Linked DNA regions of Pelodiscus sinensis. The protein of the gene in region 1 interacts with the protein of each later gene in a pairwise test. Links are inferred from orthologs where the notes say so. Each region holds a gene or a part of one and is shown in the gene's direction. Other genes may lie near its edges.

Region 1 (7,406 bases):
TGATCCTAAATCCAGCTGGCAGCATCTCACTGCAGCCTGTGCCACCATATATGGTCAGTACTGGGGAGAGAACCAGTAGAACAGGGCTGGAGGTGGCTTGGACGGCAGCCATCAGGAGGGCTTGGACTCAGCTGCATGCTGAAACCCCTCTGTGCTGTGGCCAGCCGGAGCTGCTCTTTGGAGCTCAGCAACTTTGGTATGGAACGGTACGAAGTGCAACAGGGGAAGCAAGCACCCCTCTCCCTGTGGAGAAGGATGGGGCCAAAGAGCCCAAGAGATACCAGAGCCCCAGACAAATATAACTCAGAAAAACCTCAAACCTCCATGTCCTTCAACACCCCTCCTCCTCCTCCCGCAGAGAGTCCCTGGCAAACCCATGCAGGCAGAGCTGTTCCCACCTCTTCTCCCTCCCCCACCCCAGGGCATGTTTCAAACTGAGCCTGGCTAGTTCTCCTTACATAGAGGTTTCCAAGTGACTGCAAAGAGTTGAGCAAAATTTAAGGTAAGGTGCCAAGTGGCCCCATAAAATGATTCAGGGGCTCCACTCCCCCCCACCCCGCTGCACGTCAGGAGAATCTGACATGTGTCTGTCACAAGGTAACGCTTTTCCATGTCTGAGACAGCGGCAGAGGGCCACACACTTCGTTCTAGGTCGGCTCTGACTGGTACTCGCCTGCTCGGTCACCAGGCCAGGCCCTCCCAGCGATGCGGCACCTTTGGCGCTCCGTAACACCGAGGGCCCCAGATGAGTCACTACGCCATGGTGGTTAGCTCCCAGCTGCACCACGGGAATGGTTGAAGGGGAAAGCCTGGCCATAAATGAAGGGGAACAACAAATTGAAGGTTTGAGGGCAGCGGCTCTGAGCAGCCAAAACAAAAGACGTTTTCTTTGGAATTCAGGGCTTTTCCTGGCAGAAATTCACAGTTTTCTCGCCAATGGGACACTTGGCAGGTCAACCCCCCTTCTAACCCCCCCTTGCTACCGGGCCTCTACCCATGCCGTAGGATGAGCTCATCCCACTAAGCTGGCTAGGAGGTGGGTAGAGTCTGGGTGCCCCAGGGCAATGACCAGATGGGATTGATGTCTTGCTAGGGCACTGACAATGCAGTTTCTGGGAGCAAAAGCCTCCATCTCGGGTATCACCATGCAGAAGAGGATTCCTGTGAGAGATTCTCCAGTTCCAGGGCCCGATAGCCCCACAGCAGCACCTACCAAGTGGTCACTGCTATGGAAAAGAATCAGACCGGTGACTTCTGGGAGGCAGAGCCTAATGCTGCAAATAAGGCACAGGCCTGACCTCCCAGCTCCGCCACAGACTTCTCGTGTGGCCCTTGGCAAAGTCACTGCCCTGCCTTCACCTCCCCAGCTGTGTGAGGTGGCTAATGATCCCACGCTTCCTCACGGGAGAGGGGGGAATGTAAAGCCGTTCACGGGTCTGAGCTGTGCAGGCACCAGCTCTAAATCAGATACAGGGGGCCAATGCTGCCATCACGCCAAGAGAACCAAACCGCATCTGATGAGAGCAGCAGCTAGTTCCACCTTCAGGGGAGAGAGAGTGCACAAGCTGCTCTCCAGAAAAGCGAAAGCCTGCCATCTGCTGGACACAAGCCACAAGCCAGCCCTTGTTTTGTCCCGGGGCTCCCACAGCTCAAGAGCTTACAACGCTCACCTTCCCGTGAATGGGCTGGGAGAGACCAGAGCGTGGGTCTGCCCTACTAGTTATGTCTCCATGGCAAACAGGCAACTTCCTGCTTCTGCAGCCAGGAAAGCAGTGCTTAGTATTGAGGAGTAGAACCGGAAGGGTTTTCGGTGACATTAGTCAAGTTTTCATTCAATGCTGCTGCAAAGATCAGGGGCAATTAGTGCCTGTGGGGGAAGGGGGTATGAGGGCCACTCTGATGGGTAGGAGGCATATGGGGGCACCCCATTTAGCAATTAAAATGTTGGTGGGGGCATAGCGGGCAGTGCACCTACAATGTGCTACCTCTGGCATAGATCATTTTCCTGGCTCGCTGTGCTGTCTTGTACCTCTGTTCAGCCTCCCCTCATTTACCTTTCTTTCACTGCATTAAGTGCAAACTACCTGTCTTTACTTTCAAGGCCTTATCTGACCTATCCCATGCCTGAATTGTCATCCATAGAACAGTCATGTAATTAATACCCCCTCGCCTCATGTGCACTATCGACCCATGAAAATGGCACTTTGGGCTTTCCATCAATGCTTGTTGATCAGGCAGCGGGCTTTGCAGTGCACTCAAAGGCTTTCTTTGTGCTGTTCTTCACAGGTCAGATCTAGAGAGGAGAGGAAGAAGGCCAGAGCACCCCAAATGCTGTGCCCACAGCCCCTCCCTTTTACTGCACCGTGAACTCCAAGTGCTCAAAAGTCATGAGTCAAGGGCCAGAGCCAAATAATCATGAGATTGGCTGAAACATCATGAGATTTAAAGCAAACACTCGGTGTGTGTGAAGGGCGGACATATTTATTTATTTTCTGATTTCTAAGCCTGCAGGCCAGGCTCAGGTTATGTTGTCTGCGAAGTGGTGAGGGCTAGAAGCGTCTTTATTTTCAAGGACAGAGATGGCTATGTACACAATGTTTTACTGACCCTGCAACTATCAGCACATGCACAAAGAAATTAGAAGAGCAGGCAATGCTACTTGTAGGTAGGGGGTTCCAGCTTGGAGTAAGGGGCTGGGCTAGGCCTGTGCTGTCAACAGTGGTGACAATGGCAGCTGTCTCACACACACACACAGTGCACAATGATCACAGGCATATGTGCACCCACGCATAAGGTGCACAGGGCACTCACATAGACTGAATGTAACCCACACACCTCGTGAAGTTCACTGTCCCATGTAGTGGCATTTAGACCACTTACAGCTAGATATAAGAACAAGGGAGCTCTACAGCCACAGCTAAGTGGTAGATGGCTTTATAGCTCAAGCTGTAGAGGGTCTATACTAAACTCCAAAGAGCTCAGGTTCAAATCTGGCCCGTGGTGGTTATCAGTGGGCACTTGTCAGCAATTTCAACTGGGTCTCAAGCTCAGAATGCACTTCCTCAGCTAGGGGGGAAGTATGTAACCCACCCATCTCATGTGGTTCACTGTCTTATGTAGTGGCACTTAGACCACTTACAGCCAGAGATAAGAACAAGGGAGCTCTACAGCCTAAGCTGAGTGGCAGCTGGCTTCGTAGCTCAAGCTGTGAGAGACTCTTATAGTGACCTCCAGAGGTCCCAGATTTAAATCTGCTCGGTGGCACTTAGTGGCACTTACATACGTGCACACACAGCTGGTATTCAACCCATGCAAAGGACACACACAGAGGCATATGCACATGTAGCCCCCCACACCTACGGGGGGGGGTTCACTGTCCGACAAGGCACTGAGACCGCTTACAGAGAGAATTATGCGATCGTGTTCTACAGCCGAATCTGAGGCCAACTGGGTTTTAGCTCAAGCTGTGGACAGAGGCTCTTGCACTAAGCTGCAGAGAGGACCCCGGTTCGGTTCTGCCTCTTGGCGTTACACGTGCATGTGCGCACACAGGACATATAGGACACGTGTCTACATGCAAAGGATGCACACCCACGGGGGGCACATGCACACACACACTGCAGGGACACACGCACACGGAACACACGGAACTCTGCTGTCAGTGTCCAACGGGGGGCGCATCCCGAGGGAGGGTTTCCGGTCGGGCCGGGGACAGAGGCGCACCGGAGGGAGGGTTTCCGGTCGGGCCGGGGACAGAGGCGCACCGGAGGGAGGGTTTCCGGTCGGGCCGGGGACAGAGGCGCACCGGAGGGAGGGTTTCCGGTCGGGTTGGTGACAGGGGAGCGCACCGGAGGGAGGGTTTCCGGTCGGGTTGGTGACAGGGGAGCACCGGAGGGAGGGTTTCCGGTCGGGTTGGTGACAGGGGAGCGCACCGGAGGGAGGGTTTCCGGTCGGGTTGGTGACAGGGGAGCGCACCGGAGGGAGGGTTTCCGGTCGGGTTGGTGACAGGGGAGCACCGCAGGGAGGGTTTCCGGTCGGGCGGGGGACAGAAGCGCACCGGAGGGAGGGTTTCCGGTCGGGTTGGTGACAGGGGAGCGCACCGGAGGGAGGGTTTCCGGTCGGGTTGGTGACAGGGGAGCGCACCGGAGGGAGGGTTTCCGGTCGGGTTGGTGACAGGGGAGCACCGGAGGGAGGGTTTCCGGTCGGGTTGGTGACAGGGGAGCGCACCGGAGGGAGGGTTTCCGGTCGGGCCGGGGACAGAGGCGCACCGCAGGGAGGGTTCCGGCTGGCGCGCGGGGAAGATGGAGACGATCCTGGAGCAGCAGCGGCGCTACCATGAGGAGCGGGAGCGGCTCATGGACGTGATGGCCAAGGAGATGCTGATTAAGAAATCCACGGTGCGGGGGGGAGGGGCCCTGCTCTTCCGCCCGCGTGTCGGGCCGGCCTCAGCCCTCCCCTCCCGGAGGGGCCCCCAGCAGGGCTGGGTGCGGGGCAGTGACTGTCCTGGGGCGAGCCGGGCACCAGACAGCCCCCCACAGCGCAGCTTCCTGGCCCATGGGCCCCTGGCTCCCTGACGTGGGCCCCCGTTCACCCGTCTCTGTCCCAGGGGTGGCCCCCCTCATAATTCCCCCACCTCAGTGAAGCCGCCTCCCGTCAGAGCGCGGTGCAAGTGCAGTGCGATGCCAATGACCCACCAGCAGCCTTTGTCCCAGTGAGCGACTCCTCGCATACCCCTAGCTGACTGGGGCAGATGAAGACTGTTCTTTGCTGAACTTTCCCAGATTTGGAGTTGGGGAAAGCGTGGCTAATCTTTTTTTTCTGATCTGTCTTATAGTTACGGGACCAGATTAACTCTGATCATCGCACCCGAGCGATGCAGGACGTGAGTATCGCCTCTTCTCTTTCCCTCGCGCCTTGTTCCCTAAAGATTATGGGCTGGAGCACAGGCTGTTTCGGTGTAGTGAGTTACTTAAGCGATACATCGCAAACTGTATTTCTGGATGTGTGTAGCACAGGGGTTCTCAAACTTCATTGCTCTGCAACCTCTTTCTGACAGCAGAAGATACTATACCACCCTAGGAGAGAGACCAAAACCTGAGCCTGTCCAAGCCGCACCATCCCAGGTGGGAGTGGGGCCAAAACCCCACCGCCATGATGTTGAGGCAAAGCCCGAAGCCAAGAGCTTTTGTCCCAGGCATGGGGCCTGTAACTTGAGCCCTGCCACCTGAGCTGAAATTCTTGGTCTTTGGCTTTAGCTTCGGGCAGTGGGGTTTGAGCTTTGGCCCTGGGCCCCAGTGAGTCTAAGCGAGTCCTTGCAATCCCATTAAAATAGGGTTGGAACCCACTTTGGGGTCCTGGCCCACAGTTTGAGAATTGCTGGTATAACACATTAAGATTGCAGGGTGCAAGGTTAAAAAAAAATGGTTTTGTGTGCGGCATAGTAACTGATAGACATATGCAAGCTGATAACAGTATTTACTGGAGTTTTGCTTACCATAAAGTTCATGAGCTGAGTTTGCCTAGATTTGGTTCTATCTGCAAATTTTTAAAGTGTTTTCATATTTATACCAATATTTATTCTGCAGAGATACTTGATACTGAAGTTATAGGATTTATTTTGCACAATGCTTGATGCATCTGCATTACCTTTTACCAGAACCTGGGCACATGGAACATAAGTAATTCCATCCTGCACCCTAACTCATCAGTTTTAGCATTAAAAACATTTAGCTATATTTTAAATCAGCTGTATTATTTTCATTGCAGCTAATTTATTAAACAGCAAAACTCCACAGAAGATCATGAAATGACTTGGGTAGCGAGATATTGTATTTCCCTGAAAATACTTTCAGCTGCTAAATTTCCCTATAATGTTTCATTACCTTTCACTGAGCAGCCTTTCATTTCTTTGTCTGTTTAGCTCAAGTTTGTGGGATTGTTATTTCAAATGTAAGCAAGCTTTTGCAAGCTTCCAAGAAAGCAGCTTATTTTTCCTAACTCTGCATGTTGTGCTGAAGTGCAGCAAAAGTATATGCATAACTGTAACATGTTTTTTTGTTTTTTAGAGATATATGGAAGTGAGTGGCAATCTGAGAGACCTGTATGATGATAAGGATGGGTAAGTGTCTGCAAAAAAGATGTGAACGGGCTTTTTTAAAAGCTGAAAGATCTGCTAGCTAAACACCTTCACACAGAGTATGTCTGCAAGCACTTTAACAGCCCCTTAGCCCAAGCCCTGCATACCCAAGTCAGTTGACACAGGCCAATTGCTGGTTTTTAATTTCAGTGTAGATGTCCCTTTAGTGCTTTCAGAGCTACAGGAGAGTCTTACTGGCACTTCTTTAGGTCACATATAAAGAGAGCGATGCATTTAGAGCTATGATGATAGAAATGTAGCCCTGTTAGTCTGGTCTAGCTGAAACAAAAAACAGGACTATGTAGCACTTTAAAGACTAGCAAGATGGTTTATTAGGTGAGCAGCTTTTGTGGGCCAGACCCACTTCCTCAAATCAAATAGTGGAAGAAAATTTAGGAAAATTTTCTTCCACTATTTGATCTGAGGAAGTGGGTCTGGCCCACGAAAGCTCATCACCTAATAAACCATCTTGCTAGTCTTTAAAGTGCTACATAGTCCTGTTTTTTGTTTAATTTAGAGCTATGGCACTTGTTTAAAAAAAAAAAAAATCCCCCCCCCCCACCTTTCTCCAAAGCAAATTTAAGTTTTCTTGCAGAAGTTTTATTGCACTTGCCAGTTTTTAACATGAGAGTAAAAGTCTAATGCTGGAAACAAATCCCTGACCAGACATTATTAGTAGGCGTCTTGACATAACTTCATCAGTGCCATAGAGCAACATGTCGTTGCAAAGCTGTCACTGACATAAGATTTGCCAGCAAAGTACTGTTTGATCCAAAGTGTGTGGGAGTAGGAAGGGGAGGGAAAGAATAAATCTGCCATAAATCTAGCCCTTCTAAAATATCATGTTGGAGAAAAAATCACGACTGAAATGGTCCATCAAATAAGATGCAGTTAGGGCTGAGTTATCTGCACTCCCATTTGTAGGTGTAATGACCTTTAAGAGGGGGGAACCAACAAAAACAACTGAATGTGCCAATTGCAGTGTTTCCCTTCTGGTTCATACTAAGACCTATACACGGTTAAAGATTCCTGCAAATCCCATTTAACTTGCTGTGTGTTGCTTCTTCAGTAGAATAAGGGACAAGAAGGGGTGTTGCTGATTCTGCACACTTCAGCAGTAAATTTCTCCATTGCTGTATGTACACTAGCACTTTTGTGGGTCAGAGGTGAGGGAAAAAAACAAAATAATATTCACGGATAGAAATGCTAATGTGGACAGCACCACTGCTCGTTGGTTCGTTATGCTGATGGGAGCGTTCTCTCTGTTGGC
Region 2 (8,146 bases), on another chromosome or scaffold:
ATCATTATGCTAGCTTCAAATTCTTGGTGTTTTGGTCTGTCAACGTCTTTCCTACCAACCTTCTAATGGCTTCTGTTTCTTTTCTGAGCGTCCATGCCTTCGTTGGAGCCGGCGATGCAACTGTATTCAGAAATGTAAACGGCAAGAAAGAGAAAGCACAGACATCCCAAATTCTGTATCATCTTAAGGACGTGTCATGGTGGGTCACAAAAAGGGAACCACAGAGTTTTTTAAATGTAGTTCAGTAACAATTATTTCATTTAACAATACAGATCTCCTTCAACCCTTAGGCAAAGATCAGTTCACATTTAAAAAAAAAGAAGCTGTTATCCACTTGGTATGGCAGGGGAGGGAGGAGGGAGACTTCTAATGCTGTTCCCGCCCCCCAGCAAAATCTCTTACCTCTCATTGGCCAATCTCTCAGTTTTGGGCCAATATGAGCTGAGAATTTTTGTGGGAGCAGAGGCAGTGTAGGAAGCCTTCTCCCTTCCTCCTCATCCATCCTTCTTCCCCTTTCCCTTCCCTCTCATGCCCACAGCAGAGCCATGTGGAGCTGCAAGCAGCCTGCAGCTGTCAGTCTGCCTTAGGTTTCTGCTGGTAAATGCCTCCTAGCAGAGCCTGCCTCTGGCACCCTAGCCCCTCCCTTCTCCAACCCTCTGCCCCCCCCTACTCAAACCCTTTGCCCCTACTGTACCTATACCCCCTCCCAGATCTGGCACCCCAGTCTCCTGTCTCAGATCACAATCCCCTCCTAGCCTAGGTCACATCCCAAAATCCTGCATCCCAGTCCCGTCTTCTTCACCCAAACTCCCTCTGAGACCCCATTCTCCCTGCTGCACCCCAATCCCGTATCCAAAGCTCCCTTCTGTACTCAACCTCCATCCCAGACCCCTCACCTCCTCCATTAATATTCTGGAAAAGTATGGCCTTCAATCACATTCCAAAAATCTTGGAATGGTCCCCCGTCAAAAATTATTGACCACCCCTGTTGTATGTTCACAGATGAATGGCTGAAGGCAACATTTGAAGCCTGCAAAAGAGAACACACTTCATTTCAAAATCTTGTGTAAATAATTAAATGCCAAAGATCTGCAAAAAATGAATAAAAGTGGCCTTCTAGCCTAATTGCGAAAAGAACACTTCCTCTAAGCAATCTAGATTCTGTCTTTCTAAATCAGCATCACCCATCCTCCATGGGGACATACAAAATTTCAGACAAAATTAACATCACAATAGGCATAAAAACATGTCACATTTGAATAGCGACAATAACTTTTTTTTAGGAAGTTTTGGTTGTTTGGAAGAGGCAATTGCTACTAGCTACAATACCAATCTTACAGAAAATAGGTGGACACCTCTGCAGAGCTTACTGCATGACCAGAACATAACAATATATTTGAAAGCATGAAATATTATTTAGAATAATCAGTGCATACATATGTGTATATAAAAATCTGTACAAATTTGCCTTAATCTCCGCGAGACCTTCGGACATCAGATGCAGTCATAATAAATAAAAATGTATTTGACTGACCCAGAAGAGCGATGCTGCAGTAAACACGCCCAAAGTGATCCTGGTGTTACGCCACTAGAATATTACTGTGCTACAGGGGATAAATTATGAAATTTCTGGCACATGTGTAACCATATTCTACAGGGAGTCTCAGCTGTGTCATTTCTAAATCCCAGGTCTTTCTGCAAAACAAGATTCACTGACTCCATTCAAATCCCTCTCAGTGCCCCCAATAGCCCCCTCCACAACACAGATAACATAGTTGTCAAGTGAGTACAAGATGACCAGAATGTAACAAACACAGCATTAGGAAGCAGTCAGGGAAAGATCACAAAGGCTCTAGACTGCAGATGGATGGGAACGGTGCAGGGAGGAACCTGGGAATTCATCAATTTAGGAAGCTTATTTATGGACTACTACAGAAAGTGGAGATTAAACTCCTCCATTGTATATTTCCACTGAATTTAGCAGTGTCACACCATGAAAGATTTTGTTCCAGAGAACAGAGGTTAGTCATAAATGTATTTGTATTATACAAACTGTATTATATAACTAGGAAAATGAACTATAAATGCATTGAAAAACATTTGGGAAAGTTCTGGAACTGACAGGAGTTTTATTATACATGATGTGGAATTTCCAAATTCCAAAAGGAATCAGTTTCAAACAGCAAATGCAATAAATTGTGCTGAGCAGAGAGCAGGACTAGAACTACTCACAATCTCTATTTCTCATCTTCATCTCAAACCTTTGGATCACTGCCTGCCACCTACATATCCACCTTCATGTCATCCTTATATCCTGTCTCATTCCTCACTCTTCTTCCTAGCCTATTCTCACTCTCCATCATGCACCTTCTTCTGTACCAAGACTCATAACTGTCATCCATGTCACCTTACTAGATCACTTATGAAAAGTCCTGGCAGAGTCTATCATGAAGGGGTGATGTACTGGTGTTTAGCATATTTGCAGGAACTGTGTGTTATTTTCAGCTAAACGGATAATAGAATGACTATTACCAATGGAAAACAGACGCCAGTCCATGGAAAACATTAATTACTTGTTATTCCACTGACACAAAGATACACAGGTTTTGGAAAGGATCATTGTTTTTTGGTTTGGAAGATTTCATTAAAACAAACATTTTCTTCTTACCAAAGTTTATGGGCTATCCTCTCCCCCTTTTGATATCTGAGCATCCATATCATTCTTTCTAGCACACATACTGCTTTGTGCATTCCTCTGACCCTTACAGCAACATAACATTCTGCAGAGATTAATGCTGCCTGTAATACGTAAGCCTTTATGATTTAGGGAAAAACCTCCCAAATGTTATTTAATCCAGCTCTATCTTCTAAAGTCTGTGATATACTTGCTCTCAGATATGTAAACTCATATTACTAGGAAGTCAAAAGGTGACAATATAAGTATCAGCTTACTTAATTAAGAGCCCTGTCTACATGAGAACTACATCAATGTAATTACATGGATGCAAACCCCTGCTGTAAGTGGTTATCATCAAGTTCCATTCATTACAATGGAAACAGGAGACTCATGTATGGTCATTTATGCTACAAATATAGACAGTTAAGTAAAGTGGTTGCAACAAAGCAGTACACAGATTCTAACCCAGATTCAAAATTGTGCCAACATGTAGTACAGATAGGATCTCATCCCTATTTTATAACATGGCTAAATAATGGCCATGTGTCACGTGTCTGCTGTTTTTACAGATTATTCCTCAGATAGATGTACTAGGAAGTAAAATTAGAGCTGAGAACCAGGCCAAACTAATTTATCTGCCAGACAGAATTAAGAGTAATTTAGTTGAGTGAATGCAGAATAAAAATTAAATAAAGGGCAAGCATTTAAATGTTTCACTTGTAACATGGATGTGACAAAGTGGGGGTTCCATTCGCTCTGTCCGCTTTATGTTGCATGTGATTTCTGTTGTCCTGCACTGTAGTAACTTTGTGTGTGGATCTGTTTCCCTGGGCATAGCACCAGTGCCAAATTGGAGATGGGAATTTTGGGTGTGACTCTCACTGAGGGGAGGCTGACCAGGCTAGCACGGTCACAATGGCCCAGGTTCACTGTAAGGTGAGCCTGGAAGGGAGATGCAAACAGGTGACACCTTAAGCTCAGGAAGCTGAACAAAGGAAGAAGTGGGGCTGCCTATAAAGCTGGGTCGGGCTGCGGAGTGAGTTAGTCTCCGCTGGCTTAAGATACAGAGGGAGGGCCCTGGCTCCAGGCCCCCCTTTTCCTCAAGGTGGATTGTACTGTCTGCTTTTGGTTCCTGTACTAACAAATATGTTTTACCTTGTATCCCTGAGAACTAATGAACCTTCTGTTCTACCTGCTGCCTGAGAGTCACACCTGGCTGCAGATGTGTGCAGGGACCCCCATGTTGCAAAAATAAATATAAACAATAGCCTTCAAATTAATATAAATTGAAGCTCTCCTGCCAATGAAGAGACCCAAGTAAATCTGAACTCTTTATGTATTGCCAAGGCTGCAGCACAGAGGGGGAGGGAGACTGGCCAGACCCCAGTTTCATTATTTAACAGTGCTAGCAAGGAGGAAACTATTTACCCATAATTATTATTCTGCAGCTTTGCAGGAACTACACGTTGCCAAAGTCCAGAGACGAACCTTGGTGCCTGCAGATGGTTTTCAGGCATACTTCTAAACACAGCCTAAAGGGTGCCTTGGTTTTACAAACAAAACAAAACAAAAAAGCAAAACAAACAAATCTTCACCACAATCAATGATGTCAAACTCCACAAGCCCCGTGCTGCCAACGGGGCGACTCCAACCCCACCACTCCTCCCCCCCCCCCACGGTGCGACCCCCAACCCCACCGCTCCTCCCCCCCCCCACGATGCGACCCCCAACCCCACCGCTCCTCCCCCCCCCACGATGCGACCCCCAACCCCACCGCTCCTCCCCCCCCACAGTGCAACCCCCAACCCCACCGCTCCTCCCCCCCCACAGTGCAACCCCCAACCCCACCGCTCCTCCCCCCCCACAGTACAACCCCCAACCCCACTGCTCCTCCCCCCCTCCTCTCGCAGTACGACCCCCCAACCCCACCGTTCCTCCCCCCCCAGTTCTCGCCTCACAGAGTGCGACCCCCAACCCCACCGCTCCTCCCCCCCTCCTCTCGCAGTACGACCCCCCAACCCCATCGCTCCTCCTCCCCCACGGTGCGACCCCCCCCAACTCCAGCCTCCCGCGGTGCGACCCCGCTGCCCCTTTTCACCGTTGCGAGCCCAACCCCGCCCCCTCTCACGCCAGCCCTCCCCTCACAGCCTCCGTGCCGAGGTCGACCCGCCCCCGGCTGCAGTGCCACACGCCACCGGCGACGTGACCCAAACGCGCGGCGTGAGGGCACGAGCCTCACACACCCCCCCCCCCGCCCGCCTCGTGAGCGCGCACGTACGCGTGCCCAGCCGCGCCGAGCCTGAGCACGTGGGGACGGCCGCTGGGACTGGAGCGGAGTCGGGCTCGGGGCCTGAGCGAAGCCGGCGTGAGGTGACGGGCTGGGGGCAAAGCGGGCCGCGAGCCCGGGAGAGACCATGCGGCGGCGGGGCGGGGTGGGAGGGGGTGAGAAGTAGGAAGATACCAAGTGAAGCGGAGAGGGGGGTGCGAGCTTAGGCAGGCGGTGGCTGCGCGCTCCCAGCCACCTCAGATGCGCGCTCTGGCGGGAGCGCGGCGCCTCCCCTGCTGTTCCGTTAGGGGGCACTGGGGTAAACCGCCGCCGCGTGGACTTCAGGGGCGGGGCTTGCTGGGGTGGGCGGGGCTTGGGCGGGGGAGGGGCGGGTCCCACAGGGAAGGGGGAGGGCAGTAGGGTCCCTACTGGTTCCTGGAGGAGGGGTTGGGAACAGTGGTCCCAGTAAGCCCGGGGTGGGGAACTTTTTTTTTGGGGGGGGGGGGGGGCACAGACCCATCAAAACATCAGTTGGGGGCCACACACAAAAGAGAAGCACAAAAAAACCCTCTTAGTGTCCTGGCCCCCTGAGGAGAAAAAAAACCCTCCCAGATGTAGCCCCCCCCCTCAGAATCAGGGGGAAAAAACTCCCCTCAAGCTTCAGCCCCATGGGGAGGCCCTAGGGCCAAATTAACTCCTCCAGAGCCTGGGGCTACTAGGGTTTGTTTGGCAGGGCCAAAAAGGAGGGGTTCAGTGTGCAGGAGGGGGCTGCCAGGAGCGGGCTGGGGGTAGGAGTTCGGGTTGTGGGCAGGAGGTAGGGTGCAGGTGTGGACTGGGGTTGAGGGAGTAGGGTCTGCAAGGGTGGAAGATGCAGGAGGAGGATGAAGATGCAGAGTCTGGAGGGGGGGTCTGGAAGAGAGGGGGTGCGTGGGGAGGGTCAGAAGAAGGAAATAAAGGTGATATGATGCACACGATCAGGAAGAACTCTCCCAGCATAAGAGGCAGCATGAAAGAAGTCTTGCAGGCTTAGTCATCTCAGTGAGCCACAAGATTGTTGTAACCAAGACGATTTCGTGGGGTAGGGTAGTTTTGCTAACTGTGCTTCCCTATCTAGCATTTGCAGGGGCGCCGATTGAACTGTAGCAGCATTTCGATCGGAGGCAGAGGACATGCACGACTGTCACAGTCAATGTAGTGTGCACTCTAGAGATGTTAAATTGCGGTTAATTGACTAGTCGAGTGGTTGATGGAATTTCCATCGACTACTCGATAGGCACTTCTGCATTCCTCCTTTGAAATGCACAAGAGCCCTGTTGGGGTTTTTGTGCATTTCAAAGGAGGAATGCAGAACTCCGCCTGCAGCCGGGGCCAGTGGGAAGTCCCACTGACTCTGGGCTCCACACTGGCGTGTCTGCTTTGAAATGTACAAGAGTCCGCAGCAGGGACTCTTGTGCATTTCAAAGCCATGGAGCCCAGGGTCAGCGTGGGACTCTCCAGCTGACCTCAGGTTCCATGCAGAATTACAGTGGAACCCAGATCAGCTGGGGAGTCCCCAGCTGACCCCGGGCTCCTTGGCAGCTGCCCCTTTGAAATGCCAGAGGTGGTGTTTTAAAGGGGCAGCCCCCTTTGAAATGCCTCCTTGGAGTACCTCTTCTTTGAAGTACCCCTTCTCCCCCCCCCTTTACTGACTCTGATAGAGGCAGCAAAGCAGGAGGAATTGACTAGTTGACTGACTATCTGATAAGCATTTGCTTATCGGAAGGTCGACTAGTCTTTAACATCCCTAGTGCAATCAGCGCTCACATCATTCCATGTGTCCTTGCTTTACAACAGGGATGGTGAACCTAAGGCCCAGGGGCCAAATGCAGTCCCCCAGCTTGCCTAGATCTGGCCCCCAGGGGCTCGGGGCTCCTCCCCTCCCCCATTGGGAAGACTGCACTGGCATTCCAGACCCCCACTGCCTCCCACCTGACTGATTTTTATGTGGGTCAGCAGCCCCCGCCCCAAAAAGGTTCTCCACCCTTGCTTTACAAGCATGCCACTTTAGTAATATGCGGATTGAACCCAGCAGAATCTGGCAACCCTGTGCAAGGGCAATAATAAACTAAATGTCTCGTGGGCCACACAAGAACCCTGAAGGGGAGCATGCAGCCTACTACTGTTCTAGACGAAAGTAGTGTTTCTCAGGGAGTGATCTGTGGTGCTGGCTCCCTGAGATCTCCCTGACACAGTTTAGGAAGGCAGAGGCCAGGTATCAAAAAGATTAAGAAACACTGGACTAGAGTACACTCTTTGTCTTTCCTATGCTTGCATATAGTTGAAAGGGTCTTTATCCCATACCTAATTTTAGTAGCTGTTTATTCTAGCATACATATCTATTGCAGTCCTCCATTTAGTTTTTTGTTTGTTTGTTACTACTGCTACATTTTAAATGTTTCACAAGAGTGAAATTTATATTATTAAAGCAGTGGTCCCCAACCTTTAGAGGCTCCCAGCCCCGGGGGCGGGGCAACTCACGCGCCGGGCGCCCGGGGGCAGGACCGCGCGTCCGGGAGCACGCCAGGCGACTGGGATGCCCTTGCACCCGGCACCGGCATGTGCTCTAGGGCCGGGGCTGGGGCCGCCCGAGCCGCGCGCCTGGGGCTGGCACCGGCGCCGCTCGAGCGCCGCGTGCCCAAGCGCCTGCATATGCCCCGGGGCTGGGGCCGCCCGAGTGCCGCGAACCCGGTGCCGGTGCATGTCGAGCGCCTGGGGCCGGCGCCACCCGTGCGCCGCGGGCGGGGCTGGCCCAGGTTGTCGGCGGGCGCACACAAATGCCCCGGTGGGCATCATGGCGCCCACGGGCACCGTGTTGGGGACCACTGTATTAAAGGATCTTGGGTGGGAATCAATTTTGATTAAAATAGATTCAAGTAACAAGTTTCTAACAAAATTCTATCTTACTTTGGGGAGGTCTGAGTTTTACTGCTGTCCTGCTTCCTGCTGGAAACTTTGCTGTAGTCTTTGGATCACATTTCAGATCTGCATCAGGACTCTGGGCTCTGCTCTGAGGTTTATAACTGGTTTGCTCTGTGATCTTGAGCAAGTTACTTCTCCTCCTTGTTCTTAGTTTCCTTATCAATAAATTGGAGCTGCTACTTACCTCTCTAAAATAATTCCTTGTGGGTGCACCATTTAATGTTTGTAAAGCACTTGGATCCTTG

What was found.
Region 2: the proteins of SF3A3 (region 1) and TADA2A interact in binary tests that used the Homo sapiens proteins (3 or more experiments, as listed by UniProt). The two-hybrid records come from large-scale screens. The link is inferred for Pelodiscus sinensis from reciprocal best matches to the Homo sapiens genes SF3A3 and TADA2A.

What each region holds. Positions count from the first base shown.
Region 1 is NC_134735.1:10,736,781-10,744,186, reverse strand, and holds the start of SF3A3 (splicing factor 3A subunit 3), read left to right. Parts: upstream 1-4,227; 5' UTR 4,228-4,237; intron 4,238-4,277; 5' UTR 4,278-4,301; coding exon 4,302-4,397; intron 4,398-4,834; coding exon 4,835-4,882; intron 4,883-6,065; coding exon 6,066-6,118; intron 6,119-7,406. UniProt on the Homo sapiens protein: Component of the 17S U2 SnRNP complex of the spliceosome, a large ribonucleoprotein complex that removes introns from transcribed pre-mRNAs.
Region 2 is NC_134731.1:8,816,452-8,824,597, forward strand, and holds the start of TADA2A (transcriptional adapter 2-alpha), read left to right. Parts: upstream 1-4,891; 5' UTR 4,892-5,047; intron 5,048-8,146. Other genes in the region: C21H17orf78 (uncharacterized protein C17orf78 homolog), read left to right, coding at 89-187. UniProt on the Homo sapiens protein: Component of the ATAC complex, a complex with histone acetyltransferase activity on histones H3 and H4. Required for the function of some acidic activation domains, which activate transcription from a distant site. Binds double-stranded DNA.